Linked DNA regions of Mus musculus. Each later gene encodes a partner of the first gene's protein in a complex. Links are inferred from orthologs where the notes say so. Each region holds a gene or a part of one and is shown on either strand. Other genes may lie near its edges.

The links.
Region 2: Polr3g (region 1) and Polr3k share a complex: the UniProt entries of both Homo sapiens proteins name them as parts of the RNA polymerase III complex. The link is inferred for Mus musculus from reciprocal best matches to the Homo sapiens genes POLR3G and POLR3K.

The regions. Positions count from the first base shown.
Region 1 is NC_000079.6:81,706,401-81,713,366, reverse strand, and holds the start of Polr3g (DNA-directed RNA polymerase III subunit RPC7), read left to right. Parts: upstream 1-2,353; 5' UTR 2,354-2,509; intron 2,510-6,966. Other genes in the region: Mblac2 (metallo-beta-lactamase domain-containing protein 2), read right to left, coding at 1,385-1,838. UniProt on the Homo sapiens protein: DNA-dependent RNA polymerase catalyzes the transcription of DNA into RNA using the four ribonucleoside triphosphates as substrates.
Region 2 is NC_000068.7:181,862,138-181,869,042, forward strand, and holds the start of Polr3k (DNA-directed RNA polymerase III subunit RPC10), read left to right. Parts: upstream 1-2,222; 5' UTR 2,223-2,321; coding exon 2,322-2,432; intron 2,433-3,808; coding exon 3,809-3,896; intron 3,897-6,066; coding exon 6,067-6,194; 3' UTR 6,195-6,905. UniProt on the Homo sapiens protein: Core component of RNA polymerase III (Pol III) which synthesizes small non-coding RNAs using the four ribonucleoside triphosphates as substrates. Can mediate Pol I proofreading of the nascent RNA transcript.

The DNA.
Region 1 (6,966 bases):
GACCCCAAATTTATCCTGTCTAAAGGAAATGCAGGGATAGAAAAATTCCATGAACAAGCACTAATCCCTGACGTTATTAATGAATGATACTCTGTTATGCTTGCAGACAGGAGCCTAGCATACCTGTCCTCTGAGAGTCTCTATCCAGCAGTGGACTGAAACAGATGCAGATACCCACAGCCAAACATTGGACGGTGGTCTGGGACTCTTATGGAAGAGTTGGGGGAAGAATGAAGGCCCAGAAGGGGAAGGGAGCTCCAGCGCAAGACCAAGAGAGTCAACTAACCTAGGGGCACTCAGAGACTGAAGCACCAACCAAAGAACACACAGACTGAAAAGAGGTTCCAGGCACATAGGTAGCAGGCAAGCACCTCAGGCTCCATGGCTGCCCTATCTGGCCTCAGTGAGAGAGGATGCACCTAATCTGGCAGAGACTTGATTATGTGCTGTGTTGGGGGGAGGGGTACCCAGAGGGGCCTCCACCCTCTCGGAGGAGAAGAGAAGAGGGGATGGGAGGAGAGACTCTGTGAGGGAGGGAGCAGGAGCAGGAGTAGTTTTGGGGATGTAAATAAATAAATAAATCCTAAGACAAAAATATAAAATTGATAAATCAAATATTGCTGCTGTTGCTAATCAGTTCAGTTAGTGCAGTTCCAGCATGAGGGGAAAGGGACTGGGACCCTGTCTATTTTGCTCCAATCTATCAATTGCTTAGGACCAAGAGAATGAAGTCCTCATTAACACACACACTTTCTCCACCGGAAACAACTCCCTTATTGATCTTTCCTAGGCCTTGCTCTCATCCAGACCAGATATTTGTCATATTTCTATATTTTATGTTCACTGTCAAGCCTTTTTTTTTTTTTTTCTTGTGAGGCAATAAGCAAACAAATCCATCCGAAAGGTCAGGATGGATGAAACGGAACCAAAGCTTTCCAAGCCTACAGGTGGACCGGATAGGCACTATGCAGTGAAGTGAGGAGGCAGATGAAGTCAGCAGTTTTCAAAGCACAGAGCCTAACACTCTTCCCAAGGTGCCATTGCTTAAAAGCCTACTCGTTACAAAAGCTGAAAATGTTCAACCGGTACTTGGGAAAAGAATGGAAAATCTCCAGTCACAAGTCTCTGCAGTGTTACTACTGTAGCTGACTGACTGGGGATGGTGTGAGCTTTCAAAGAGACAGCCACACAGCAGCAGCGCGCATCTCCGGACAGAGAAGCCTGCCAGGGCCTAGTCTCTGCTTAAGCTGACTTCCACGCAGCAAAGGGTGAAACAGAGTATTCCCGCACTGTACCCCAACAGTGCCAAGGAGGTCTGTAACATGCTGTACACGCTCTCCAAGCCCCTCCCTCAGTGACAGCGCACGCCCGCGGGGCCCATTACCATCCTGCAGAATGAGGGTGGGTTGCACTGCCTGCACTCGGAACTGCCTGGCCCTCCAGCCAGGGCTGGGCGCCCGCACCACCTCGCTGTCAGAAAGCCAGGTCACGGTCTCAAAGTTGTCCCCGCGAGCCAGGGCCTCGGCCTCGGCGCGGTGCACAGCCACCTGGTCGAACTGATAGAGACCGCCGGAGTGATCGAAGTGCACGTGGGTGGCCACGGCCAGCAGTGGCCGGCGTCCTGCATCCTCTTTAGACCCGCAATCCTGCAAGAGGCCAGAGGAGTAGAGGTACTCCGGAAGGCTGCGCAGCCCCAGGCCAGTGTCTATCACCACGTCCTGCTCCGAGCCGCGCACCAGCCAAATGTTGGCCCGGTTGCCTGACTCGTAGAACCGTTCTTGAATCCAGAAGATGCCATCGCCCAGAGACTTGTGGGCATACCACTCGAGCGCCGACATGCTGCTGCGCAGGGGTGCGGCCGGGCTAGGTGGGTGTGCCTCCCACAGGCAGTCCAGGACTCGCTGCTGCTGCTGCTGCTGCTGTTGCTGCAGAGCCGGAGGAGCTACTCTCAGCTCCGGAGGAGGTGCGATCGAGGGGCGGGGATGCGGAAGGGAGCGTGGATAGGACGCTGCGACACTGCCCAGATCACCTGTTCCGCGCCCTCCCGTCCGAGCCGCAGAGCGCAGGCTGCACCCCAGTTGCCGCAGCTTCTGCAGCCGCAGCACCAAGGCAGTAACGCAGGCTGCTGAAGCGGGGAGGAGACACCGGGCAATGCTGCCCTGCTCGGGGTTCTACTGCAGGGGCCGGGAGAGATGCGTGGGAAGCGACACACAGGACCGCCCCCACACGGGCAGCGGGGGGCTGTGCACTCGCCGCCGGAGCCCAGAGTGAGGCCGAGCCTGTTGGAGGCTGACTACGGCGCCTGCCAAGGGCTAAAAAGCTCTCTTCCGGGGGTGTGGCCTCGCGGGAGTGGGCGGGGCTTCCAGTGCGCTCTGCTGCGCCGTAGCCGCGTGCGGTGTGGGGCGCGCTACTCCGGAGGTAGAATCTGCGGCTCCTTGCTGGAGGGGCTGCCGGCTTTCTTGCTTCCTCTGCTGCACCGTGTGCTCAAGCCTCGAGACTTGGCTAGCAGGTAACTGGAAGCTATCCCGTTCTGGGCAGGAGGTGAAGAGGGTAGAAGGGAGTTGATGGGGCACGTGGAGAACGTGGTGGCCGGGTATCCGGAGCCAACATTCATGAAAGCCCCTCTGGAGTGACTTTGGGAAGTATCCCTACCTCCCCAAAGCTGCTGCTGCGGTCTTCCAAACCGTTTAAAGTTTTCGTAGCCAGATCTCCCAGCTTTCCGGTGGGTTTGTTCTCAGTGAGAAAGAAGGGAGTTTATCCTCTTACAAGAGAAGACTATGCAAATCTGACGACTGTGTTTTTTCTTCATTCAAAGTTTGGCGGCAGTTTGCTGATAAGGGCATACTTACCGTCGCTTCTGTTTTCTTAATTGTTGGCACCCTTGATAGTGAGGAGAGGGGTTGGTGATAAAATTTTTCTTTAAAAAGAAAAACCTAAATGGCCGTCATAGTTCTGGGTGGTTCTTTGCTCTTTGAAGAGAGCAGAGAAAGTTAGAGCTTAAGGAAAGGCGGAGCACTTTGAGGGGACATGAAAAGTGGATAGGGACTGGGTGTGGCCTTGCAAGCCACCAGAAATCACCCCCACTGTCAGTATCAAGTCCCTGCGCTTGCACCCAACCACTAGCTATTGATACATCTATTTCGGATTAAGAAATCCCTTTGAGAATTTGACTAACCTTCAGAAATTATAAAGAGACCCACGGGAGAGCATTATAAAGGATAATTAGGAAGATTCTTACTGTGGTATCTCCTAATAAGTTTCCTAGAGGGAGAACTGTACTTCCAACACTCCAAAACTCTCTGGTGGGTGTAGGAGCAGGTCACTGCCCTTTTGAGTATTTTGCTAATCTCATCGGTTATGCAGTTGGGACCATTCTTAGCACGAGTGCCTCAGCTAAATGGTGTGTGACAAGCAGAAAACTGTTTAAAAACAAAAAAAAGTCTGATGTGAGTTCTCGAGAATCTGAGGAAGCTAACACCTGTACACAAATACTTGTTATATAATGCAAAAAAAATGCAAAAATTGGATTCTACTTATAGATGGACTAGTGAATGATTGCACTGGCCTTATCGAATGCATTTTCTGCAGAGAAACACAGTGCCCTCTGTACTTTGTTTTTGCTGCAGAAGGGGGCCACTCGGTAAGATGGCACAGTGTTGTTTCTTGGCCATAAGCTCAGAAAGAATTCAGAGATGACTATCTGGCTTGTGGCAGGCTCTAGAGTCCTTTGGACCTACAGTTCCCAATGACACTTTGTTTTCTACTTTTCAGTATGACTCTGCTTCTCATCGTAATTACATTTAAGCTCAGACAGTCCTGAGAGAGGCAGAACTTCTTCAACTAGTTTTTCTGGCCTGGTTCCTGCTTCATTTTCACACCACCTATCAGGTTCTGACAGGTTCTCTAAAGTATATTTTGCCCACTTCCCATACTCGATCGTAAACTCCATTAAAAGCAGAGATGTTATTTTGTTTGCCTCTGTATTTCCAACAGTGAGAGGATGGTTTGGCCCAGAGGTTAGGCTTAGAGTTGGGTCTTTATCAAGACCTCAGTGGATAGTTACTTGGTGAGAAGCAGAAGTTAAATGTCCTAAGCTCTGTTAATTGAAGAGAATGACATATCAGACGATTAGCCTTCTGTTAAATTGATGAGATGAATTGTTAGGGACATAACAATTATCTGGACATAAAATGCCTACGATGTTTCAGAGGGTCGATGTTAAAGGCCTGAGCTAACGCAGAAAAAAGGGGAATAATAGAGAACACACTGCTAATAGTCTTCTGTTAGGTGATCAAAGGAGACAGCCAGAGTGGAATGAGTCAGGCTCGTGATTAGAGCAAGTTTAGGTCATTCTTCAGAAAGATACTGTGACTTGGCTTTCGCTGTCTCCCCTGGCCTCCAGCTACTTGAACATTTAAATGAGCAAGGTTGTGTGTACAAGAGGATGTTACATTTCAGTCACAATTATAACTCACAACATTTTAGATCTAGGAAGAATTGCAGAGGTGAGCGCACCATCTTCCAGGAGATTATGTGTACAGTTGGTTTGGAGAGACTTGAACAACGCCCATTTTCAGATCTCTTGGAACAGATTCTGAACGGAAGTTTTGAGGCAGGACTCTGAGCTGGCAGTCAGGCAGCATCCTGAGGTGATGGTGGCAGTGCTGCTTTGTCGATCTAGTGTTTTCGATTTCAGATTTGGGGCTGGAAAGACGACCCGAGTTCAGTTCCTAGCGACCACAGCGAGTGGCTCACAAGCCCTGATGGCCTGGCATCCTCTTCTGACCTGCCTGGGCACCTGCATTTCTCCGCACATACCCACACACATTTTAAGATTTTGAAATTCAGAACTTTTTGCAGTTGCCAATTTCCCTCATTGATCTGGGATTAAAAAAATAGGTTGTTGCCGGGCAGTAGTGGTGCACGCCTTTAATCTCAGCACGTGGGAGGCAGAGGCAGGCGGATTTCTGAGTTCAAGGCCAACCTGGACTACAAAGTGAGTTCCAGGATAGCCAGAGCTCTACAGAGAAACCCTGTCTCGGAAAAACAAACAAACAAAAAAATAGGTTGTCAATGACTTTAGACATGTGTTCCCAGAAGTAAAATATAGGTAGGGCATTGAAAGGCCTTCCTCCGCCTGTGTACGCTCACCTTTGGTAGGAATTGTTTGAGATGAGATCAGATGACCTTTATAACCATTTCCTCTTCTACAAAGCAAGGAGGTTGAATCTACTGTGATTCTTCGTTTAGCCAGGACCAAATAATGAAGCCTTGGAATGGGTCACTTATTGTATATAGAGATGCCAACATATCTCAAAGGAGCGGATGCTTTGAAGGAAGAATTAAGAGTTGCTCGGTGCCTGACCAAAAGGATCAAAGCTAGTTGAGTAAATGACTGAGTTGGATTAGGCCGTTCTAAACAAATTTGGGTAATGAGGAAATCGAGAAATAAAAAACTCTTCATTCACAAAGTTTGGGAGCTGGGGCCATGTCCCATCTATTAAGGACATTGAAGCAGAAGGATATAAATTCAAGGCCTGCCTAGGCTGTAGAAAGGGCTCAAGTCCACACTGGGAAACTATCAAGTCTGTCCTCAAGAAGTAAATATGTAAATAAATAGAAATTAGAAGACTGAGACTAAAGTTTAGTAGTGGACGTTTACCAGTGTGTGTGTGAAGCTCTGGGTTCAACCCCTCTTCTCCCAGCCACACACCTTCCCTTGAAAAAGTCTGACAGGTTGAGAAAAAAAAAAAATCAATGTATTAGATAAATACATCAAATAAGGATTTAAGTGATTGGCGCCTAGGCCTCACTTGTGAACCTTTCCTTTCACCATTCAGTCTCTGGCTACAGGGGAAGAAAATGAATTTAGAAACCAAGTGTTCCTCCACCCACTCCCACCTCCCCACTGTTGATGTGATTGGGTGTTTCCGGGAGGGAGGGAAACCTGGAAAGGGGATAACATTTGAAATGTAAATAAAGAAAATATCCAAATTAAAAAAAAAAAAAGAAAAAGAAAAGAAACCAAGTGTTGTATATACGGGAGCACCCTGTCTGCGACATCAAACTGTAGGATGGCTTGTAGGCAGTGCGCCTTGTAACCAATGTGTCTCAAAAGCTAGCATTGGATTCTCTGCCGGATACATTTACTGTTGTTATCAGTTTATGCCCAATGACTGCAAGATAAAAATAGGAAGTTGGAGTCTGCAGAGCTTATTTCTGGGACAATATTCCATTAAACAGTGTTAAGTCAGATACTCTTAGAGTGAATTTCCCAAACCATTTCCAGGGCCCAACTTCAAAGATGTTGGCTTATTAGGTTTGAGAACTAAGTGTTCCCCAGGACTCAATATGTTTTATATTTATATTTTTTATCTCCCAGTTAATTCCTCTGATCAAGCAAGTTTGGTAAACTTTTCCTAGATTTATTTCTAATCTCTAGTTAGTGACATATTCTAGACTGGCAGGTAGCACAGTGGTCTTGTCCCTGCCTGTTGGGCTCCTACAGGTGCTGAGCAAAGGTGTCAGCCCCTTTACTCAGCAGAGGTCCTACTTGAAAGACCAGCTTTCTGTAGAATCAGCATGGTAGAGTGACTCAGCAATGGGAATGAAGCCATTGTGATATTTTACGTCTTTTAGAGTAGACAGATGGAATGAGCTTTGAAATGAAAATGAATTTCCTAATGGATTTTGTTTTTAAGGTAACTCGTGTATGAGCACAGTCAACCCCTAGTAGAGTTCCAATCAGCAAAATGGAAAAATTATAAAAATATATGCATCACTCAAGTCTGCAGGCTTTTAAAAAAATGTATATCGACATTTTGCAATCTACGGTGGAATAGCAGATGTAGACACACGTAGGTGGTGCTGATGAGCAAGCAGATCCTACACTAAACAAGACAGACTGGTAGTAATTCACCCACAGACCATCCTGAGTGATGCAGTGGGAAGACAGTATTTCTATTT
Region 2 (6,905 bases), on another chromosome or scaffold:
ACCTTCACCAATGGCCTTCCATGGCCTCTCACAGTGCCGAGCCTCAGCTGCTCTGCGTGACCCCTTCATGCCTTCAAAACCAGTACCACCTGGGTGACCCTTACACATTACCAAGTCCCACTGCAGCAGGAGTACAACCTTGGTTATCTCTGGAACACAACTTCTTTGTGCTTTCAGAAAACACTTCCCAGAAGATGTCACCTCAACGATGCTGGTCTCTTCTTAATCACTGCTAATTTCTTAGCTCCAGCTAACCAGCATCAATAGTGCCAGTAATGCAAAGATTTTGCTTTAGTAGTTCTGGTATCTTGTTAATCACAGCTGATTCTTCAGCTCCAGCTAACCAGAACCACAGAATAATCAAACTCCAAAATAGCAATGGCTCTGAAGAGTCTTTAATTTTCCCTCTGAAATTTCACAAGCCAGGCCTCCATCTTCTGCACTGTTCTCAACATTATCTTCCAAGCTCCTACACAACATCTGACAGAGCTCTTAACACTGAGTGAATCTTCTAGCCCAAAGTTCCAAAGTCCTTCCACAGTCCTCCCCAAAACATGGTCAGGCTGTCACAGGAATACCCCACTCTGCTGGTACCAATTTGCCTTAGTCAGGGTTTCTATTCCTGCACAAACATCATGACCAAGAAGCAAATTGGGGAGGAAAGGGTTTATTTGCCTTACATTTCCACACTGCCGTTCATCACCAAGGAAGTCAGGACTGGAACTCAAGCAGGTCAGGAAGCAGGAGCTGATGCAGAAGCCATGGAGGGATGCTCTTTACTGGCTTGCTTCCCCTGGCTTGCTCAGCCTGCTCTCTTATAGAACCAAGACTACCAGCCCAGAGATGGTCCCACCCACAAGGGGCCTTTCCCCCTTGATCACTAATTGAGAAAATGCCTTACAGTTGGATCTCATGGAGGCATTTCCCCAACTGAAGCTCCTTTTTCTGTGATAACTCCAGCTGTGTCAGGTTGACACAAAACTAGCCATAAATATTTGGCTTACATGTCAAGAGTCCATTGTTTAGGGGAGTCAATGCAGGAACTTGCTGCAGAAACAGAAGCCATTACCATGGTGGGATGCTGCTTACTGGTTTGCTCCTCATGATTTACTCAGATTCTCAGATTGCTTTTTTCTCTCTCTCCATTTTGTTCTTAGACTTACTTAAGTGTATGAGGGTTTTTGTTTGTTTGTTTTTTTTTTTTTTTGAATGCTTGTTCGTGCACCAAAGACGTGCTTGGTGCCTACGGAGGTCAGAAGAGGGCATTGGATTCTCAGGAACTGGAGGTTATGGACGTTTGTGAGCTACCATATTGGTGCTGGGAATTAAACCAGTGTTCACTATAAGAACAAGCAACAGCTGAACTATCTCTTCAGCCCCATCATTCTGCTTTCTTATATCACCCAGGACCACTGGCTTGGTGGTGACACCGCCCCCAATGGGCTAGACCCTCTCCTACCAATTTTAACTCAAGAAAATGCCCCCAGAGACTTATTTACTGGTCAATTTATGGTGACATTTTCACAATTGGGGTTCCTCTCCCTGGATATTTAGTTTGTGTATAGTTAAAGCAAACAGAAAACAACACACACATACATGTGCATGTTGCAGAATGACTGCAGAGGATTAAAGAGGCAAGGAGTTTCAAAGAAATCTGAGAAGCCAGAGCTGGGAAATATAAATGTCTATAGGAAATGAGATAAAAGAGTCAGCTGGACGTCTGTGAAAAGGAGCTGCTGGTATTTGTTACCTGCAGGGTTGAGTCTAGCTGTGTAAGTGAAAGGGCAGAATGAAACTAGGTGAAGAAATGGCCAGATGGAGGAATGGCAGGTCCAGATAGGATATCGTACGTCAGTCAGACAGCAGTTGAGACGTAGTATTAACAATGGGGACAGTGTTCCTGGGACATTTGGTTATTTTCTGTCCGTTCCGGATGAGAATATTGCGGAGCAGCATGATCCTCCTGTAACACGTCCATGGCTCGGAGTGCGGCAAGTGTCTCCTCATCACCCAGAACCTCTCACCTGGGTACTCTGGTGGTGCCAGCATTATCGGTCCAGTCCTCTTGGCGTTTCAGCTAGGGAGACGTGTGCACACGCGCAGAAACGACAGGGCTGGGCGTGCAGGCAGCATGCTATTGGCTGGATGGGAAAGGATTATCTGCGGTGACCAATGGAGTGTGCGAGGCTGCCCGCCGCAGTGCCTACTGGGAACGTCTTGAGGATCCCGGGTTGCCAGTTACGGAGCAAGTGAGACGGCTTTTGATTGGGCGCCTGCACCACGGAAGCGCCAGACAGAAGCGAGGTGTGGAAGCTGGCAGTATGCTGTTGTTCTGCCCGGGCTGCGGGAACGGACTCATTGTGGAGGAGGGGCAGCGTTGCCATCGCTTCGCCTGCAACACTTGCCCCTACGTCCATAATATCACCCGTAAGGTAAGTTCCACAGACGGGTGCCTTCTCTGCTTTCTGGGAGGCACAGCAAGCGTCGGCGCGCTCAGACCTTCCTGCAGGCTTTTGTGCTCTCGCTGCGGTGGTACCCCAAGTCCAGCAGTCGCTGCTCCAGTGGCGTCGCTCCGGCCACGTCGAAGCCCCCCCACCCCCCTCTAGCTCTCCGTTGCCCACTTTGTGATACTCCGAAAATTGTGAGAATTTTAGTTCATACCTTTTAAACCTACACTCCCCTCGTGCTGTCCTTGGCGTACCAGTCCGCGCCTCGCCTCTGATTTGAAATCCTTGGGTTCTTCTTGTGGCTCTTTTGCTCCCAGCCCCTGTCGTTATTCTAGAGAATCTTCACCATGTACGCAGTACTGTTAGGTCCTTCCTTTTGCCCGAGTCATTCTTACACAGGCACATATCACACTTATTCATTCTCCGCCTTACCCCCTACCCCCGTGTATGTGTGCATGTATGCGTCTCTGTTTCCCTCTTCCTTTCTCTCTCCCTCTCCTCTTTTAAAATAATGGCTACCTTATTTAGATTCCTGCCCTTCTGGCTGTTTGTGCATGTCTATAATTTTAGCACTTGGAGAGGCTGCGGCAGGAGAATAGGTTCAAGGCTCACCTGGGCTGCATAGCACATAGACACGCACACACACGCACGCACAGGCACAGGAAACAAACCAAACCCCAGCACTTTCAGTTTATCCACATTCCTTTTATATTTTTCACAGAATGCATTGCCTTCTAATATTTTATATCCTTGTTGCTATTTTGTGTGTGTGGTGCTTGTGTTGGAGCCCAGAAAGCTGTATTTCTAGCCCTTGGTGTTTTGTGTACCCTTCAACTCTTGTTTTGTTCCTCCTTACCTCAGTGACTGCAGGTGTGCACCACTGGGCCTTGGTGACATCTCATTCTTAATGTTTGCTCATTAGAGCTGTATGGTAGGAGTTTAGAGTCTGGATTTGTGGTAAGATGAGTTGTGACATAATTTCGAAATTAGAAGGATGCCTGATAAACTTAGGAAAGCAGCCAAAATGACCTGGGGAGTGCTGGTATACCCAGTTAAATGTCTGTCACTCCTGTTGGATTATTAGGTGTCTGAGGGGTATGAGAGAAGAGTGAGGTTTTACTAGGCTGATTTTTCTTCCTGCTCTGTCTGGTGTTTCCTTCTGTTTCTAGAGACCTTTGACATTGAACCTCTGTGCTGTTTTGGGGGACATCCCAGTCACAAGACCCCTACATTTCAGTGACTCACACTGCTCTTTGAAGAAGATAAATTTTGTAGAGGGAATGCTGGAGGGAGATTGTAGTTTGGTGGCCCACTTGTAAAACTGTACAATTACTTCAAATCTGATGTCTTGTTTCTATTAGGTAACAAACCGAAAGTATCCAAAGCTAAAAGAAGTGGACGACGTGCTTGGTGGAGCAGCTGCATGGGAGAATGTGGACTCTACTGCAGGTGAGGATTTTCCCATAACAGAGCTAGGGACTCAACCCTGCTTATTATTACTCGTTATTATATTTAATAATAATAAATTTATTATTATAATGTAACCCTGTCTGTTATTAGGGCCAGTGAGATGGCTCAGCAGGTAAAAGCACTTGTTGCCAAACCTGTTAGATTCTTGGAGCCCAGAGAGTAGAAGAGAGCTGACTGATGGAAACTTTTTTTTTGTGACTCTGTACCATCCACCACACACACACACACACACACACACACACACGTACGTACGTGTAAGTGTAAAAGAATTTAAGAAGATGTAAATAACAAAGTAATGACAAATAGCTAGTGTTTGTCACTAACTCTAAACAAGGTTTTACATTTTTGTTGCTGTTTGATTTTGTTTTTTGAGACATGGTTTCTCTGTGTAGTCTGGGTGTCCTGGAACTTGCTCTGTAGACTGTGCTGGCCTCAAATTCAGAGATCTACCTGTCTGCCTCCCGTATGTTGGTATTAAAAGCATATGCCACCACCACCTGGCTGTATTAAATGTTTTTTAAAGTAGATTCTTTCAAGTATTCTTTAAAGGAAAGTTACCATACGGATACCTGAACTGTTGTTTCATTTAGACTCTCAAGTCAGATATGGAAAAGTATAATTAAAAATAAATCTGGTGCATATTCTCTTCTTGAAGCAAAATTGGAGTTCATTACAAAAAAGTTTCAACATTGATGTAAACATAGCTGTTGAGAGGGAAAGAGAGATCCATGCTCTAGCAGGTGTAGGCTTCTCGAGAGTTATGTTGTATGTATTTTCAAATACCAACACTGAAAAAATGATCAGCCCTGGTCTTTTATTTTCATTTTATTTTTTATTATATGAATTAAAAAAAAATTGTAACTAGGGGTGAAGCATGGTTGCTCAAGCTTATAATTCTGGTGCTCTCCGGGTATAGGCAGAAGGCTCAGTGCTTATCTGGGCTTCATGAGACCCTGCCTCAGTCAGTCTGTCAACCAAGAAATAGTTGGGTAGGATTTCAGTGGTTAAGTTGGATTTCCTTCCCAACTTCCATAGCAGCTCAGACCTTCTGTACTTGTAGTTTCAGGTGATCTCATGCCCTCTACTGGCATCCAAGGGTACTGCATGAACATGATTCACGGAATACCTGAAGGCAAAACATGCACATAAAATAATGTTAAAAAAATTAAAAGGGGGGGAGGAGGAAATTCGAGACAGAGTTTCTCTGTATGGCTTTGGTTGTCCTGGAACTCACTGTGTAGACCAGGCTAGCCTCGAACTCAGAAATCCGCCTGCCTCTGCCTCCTGAGTGCTGGGATTAAAGGCGTGCGCCACCATGCCCGGTGCAACTGGGGGTATTAAAAAGTAATGTTTACATCTTGATTTATGTCTGATAGACTTAAATGTGATAATGGAATGAAAGAAGATGACCTTAAATAGTAGCTGTTTTAGAAGGAGTAGCAGTGCGTGATTCCTCTATAGAGGAATATACAGATCTTCTATGTTAACAGTTATCATTAGCTAGGTGTGGTAGTGCAACTGAGAGATGGACACAGGAAAATCAGGAGTTCAATTTTATCTTAGCTACATAGTGACTTTGAGGCCTTCCTCAAGAACCTGTTTTATAAAAGCAACAAAAGCCCTGGAAGTTGAGAATTAGTAGAGGCTTAAAATTTTTGTTTGTTTGTTTTTAATCTGTTTATCTTTAAGGTAGAATTCCCTATGTATTCCAGGCTGGCTTTATAGCAAGCCTCTTATTTCAGTTTCCCACGTGCTAGATTATAGCTGTGTGCTACCTCAGTGGGTGTGTATTTCTGTTACATTCCCACAAACAGACTATAATAGACCCTTCCCATGCTTTTCCAGCCATTCTTCAACCAGATTTGAGAAGGGAAGTGAAACCCAGGGATAGAAGGGGAGGGGGTTTCAAAAAAAAAACCTTTAAACATCTACTCATTTTCAAATTTCAAGGCTTTTGTTGCTTTTATAAAACAAGGTCTCTCTAGTCTCCTTATTATTGATGTGCTGTGGGAAGGATGTTGCTATTGGCAAACTCACCATTAGCTGGAGTAAGGGAGACCATAAGGGAGTCTAGCTGAGCATGGAGATGAGATGTTTACCCACACTTAATGTTTTTGTAATGTGGATAACTTGCTTTTCTGTTTGTCAGAGCCATGTCCAAAATGCGAACATCCCCGTGCCTACTTCATGCAGCTTCAGACGCGTTCTGCAGACGAGCCAATGACCACCTTCTATAAGTGCTGCAATGCTCAGTGTGGACATCGCTGGAGGGATTAAGGGCAGGACTTGCCCAGCTGCAAGCATGAATTTTGTGTGTACTGAAGGTCTTTGCTATATGATAGTAAGCTGACTTTTCTGTGGTGAAGGATCAGGGTGAAATATAACTCATCTGCAAGTTAACAGATAAAGTCCTTGATGTATAGGGGCCGTCAGGTCCTTGGGAGATACACATAAGGATGCTCACTTGGGTTCAGGTCCTGTTCCTTACCATTCAAACTAGGAACTTGGTTTATAGTCAGTAAAAATAAAAATTATTATTATTATTTAGTTTTTCAAGACAGGTTTTCTCTGTGTAGTCCTTGCTGTCCTTGTTATGTAGACAAGTCAACCTTGAACTCAGTGATCCACCTTCCTCTGCCTCCAGAGTGCTGGGGTTAAAAGTGTGTGCCATGACCACCAATGATAACCTTGAACCTTCTAATCTTTTTGCCTCTTGTTGGAAAAGTGTTAGGGTTATAGGCATGTGAACTATTTTCATTTTATGCAGTTCTGGGGATTAAACTCTAAGCCTCATGCATGCTAGATAAGCATTCTACCAACTGAGCTATATCTCTAGCCCTTTTTTTCTTTCTAGAGAAATTATGAAAAATACTTATAAAGATACTGAAAAATCACTTTAAAAGTCTGGAATTACTCGATTCATCTTGTATGATTAATAACTAAACAAAACTATTCTGTGAGTTGGACTTTCTGGATGATTTTGATAGG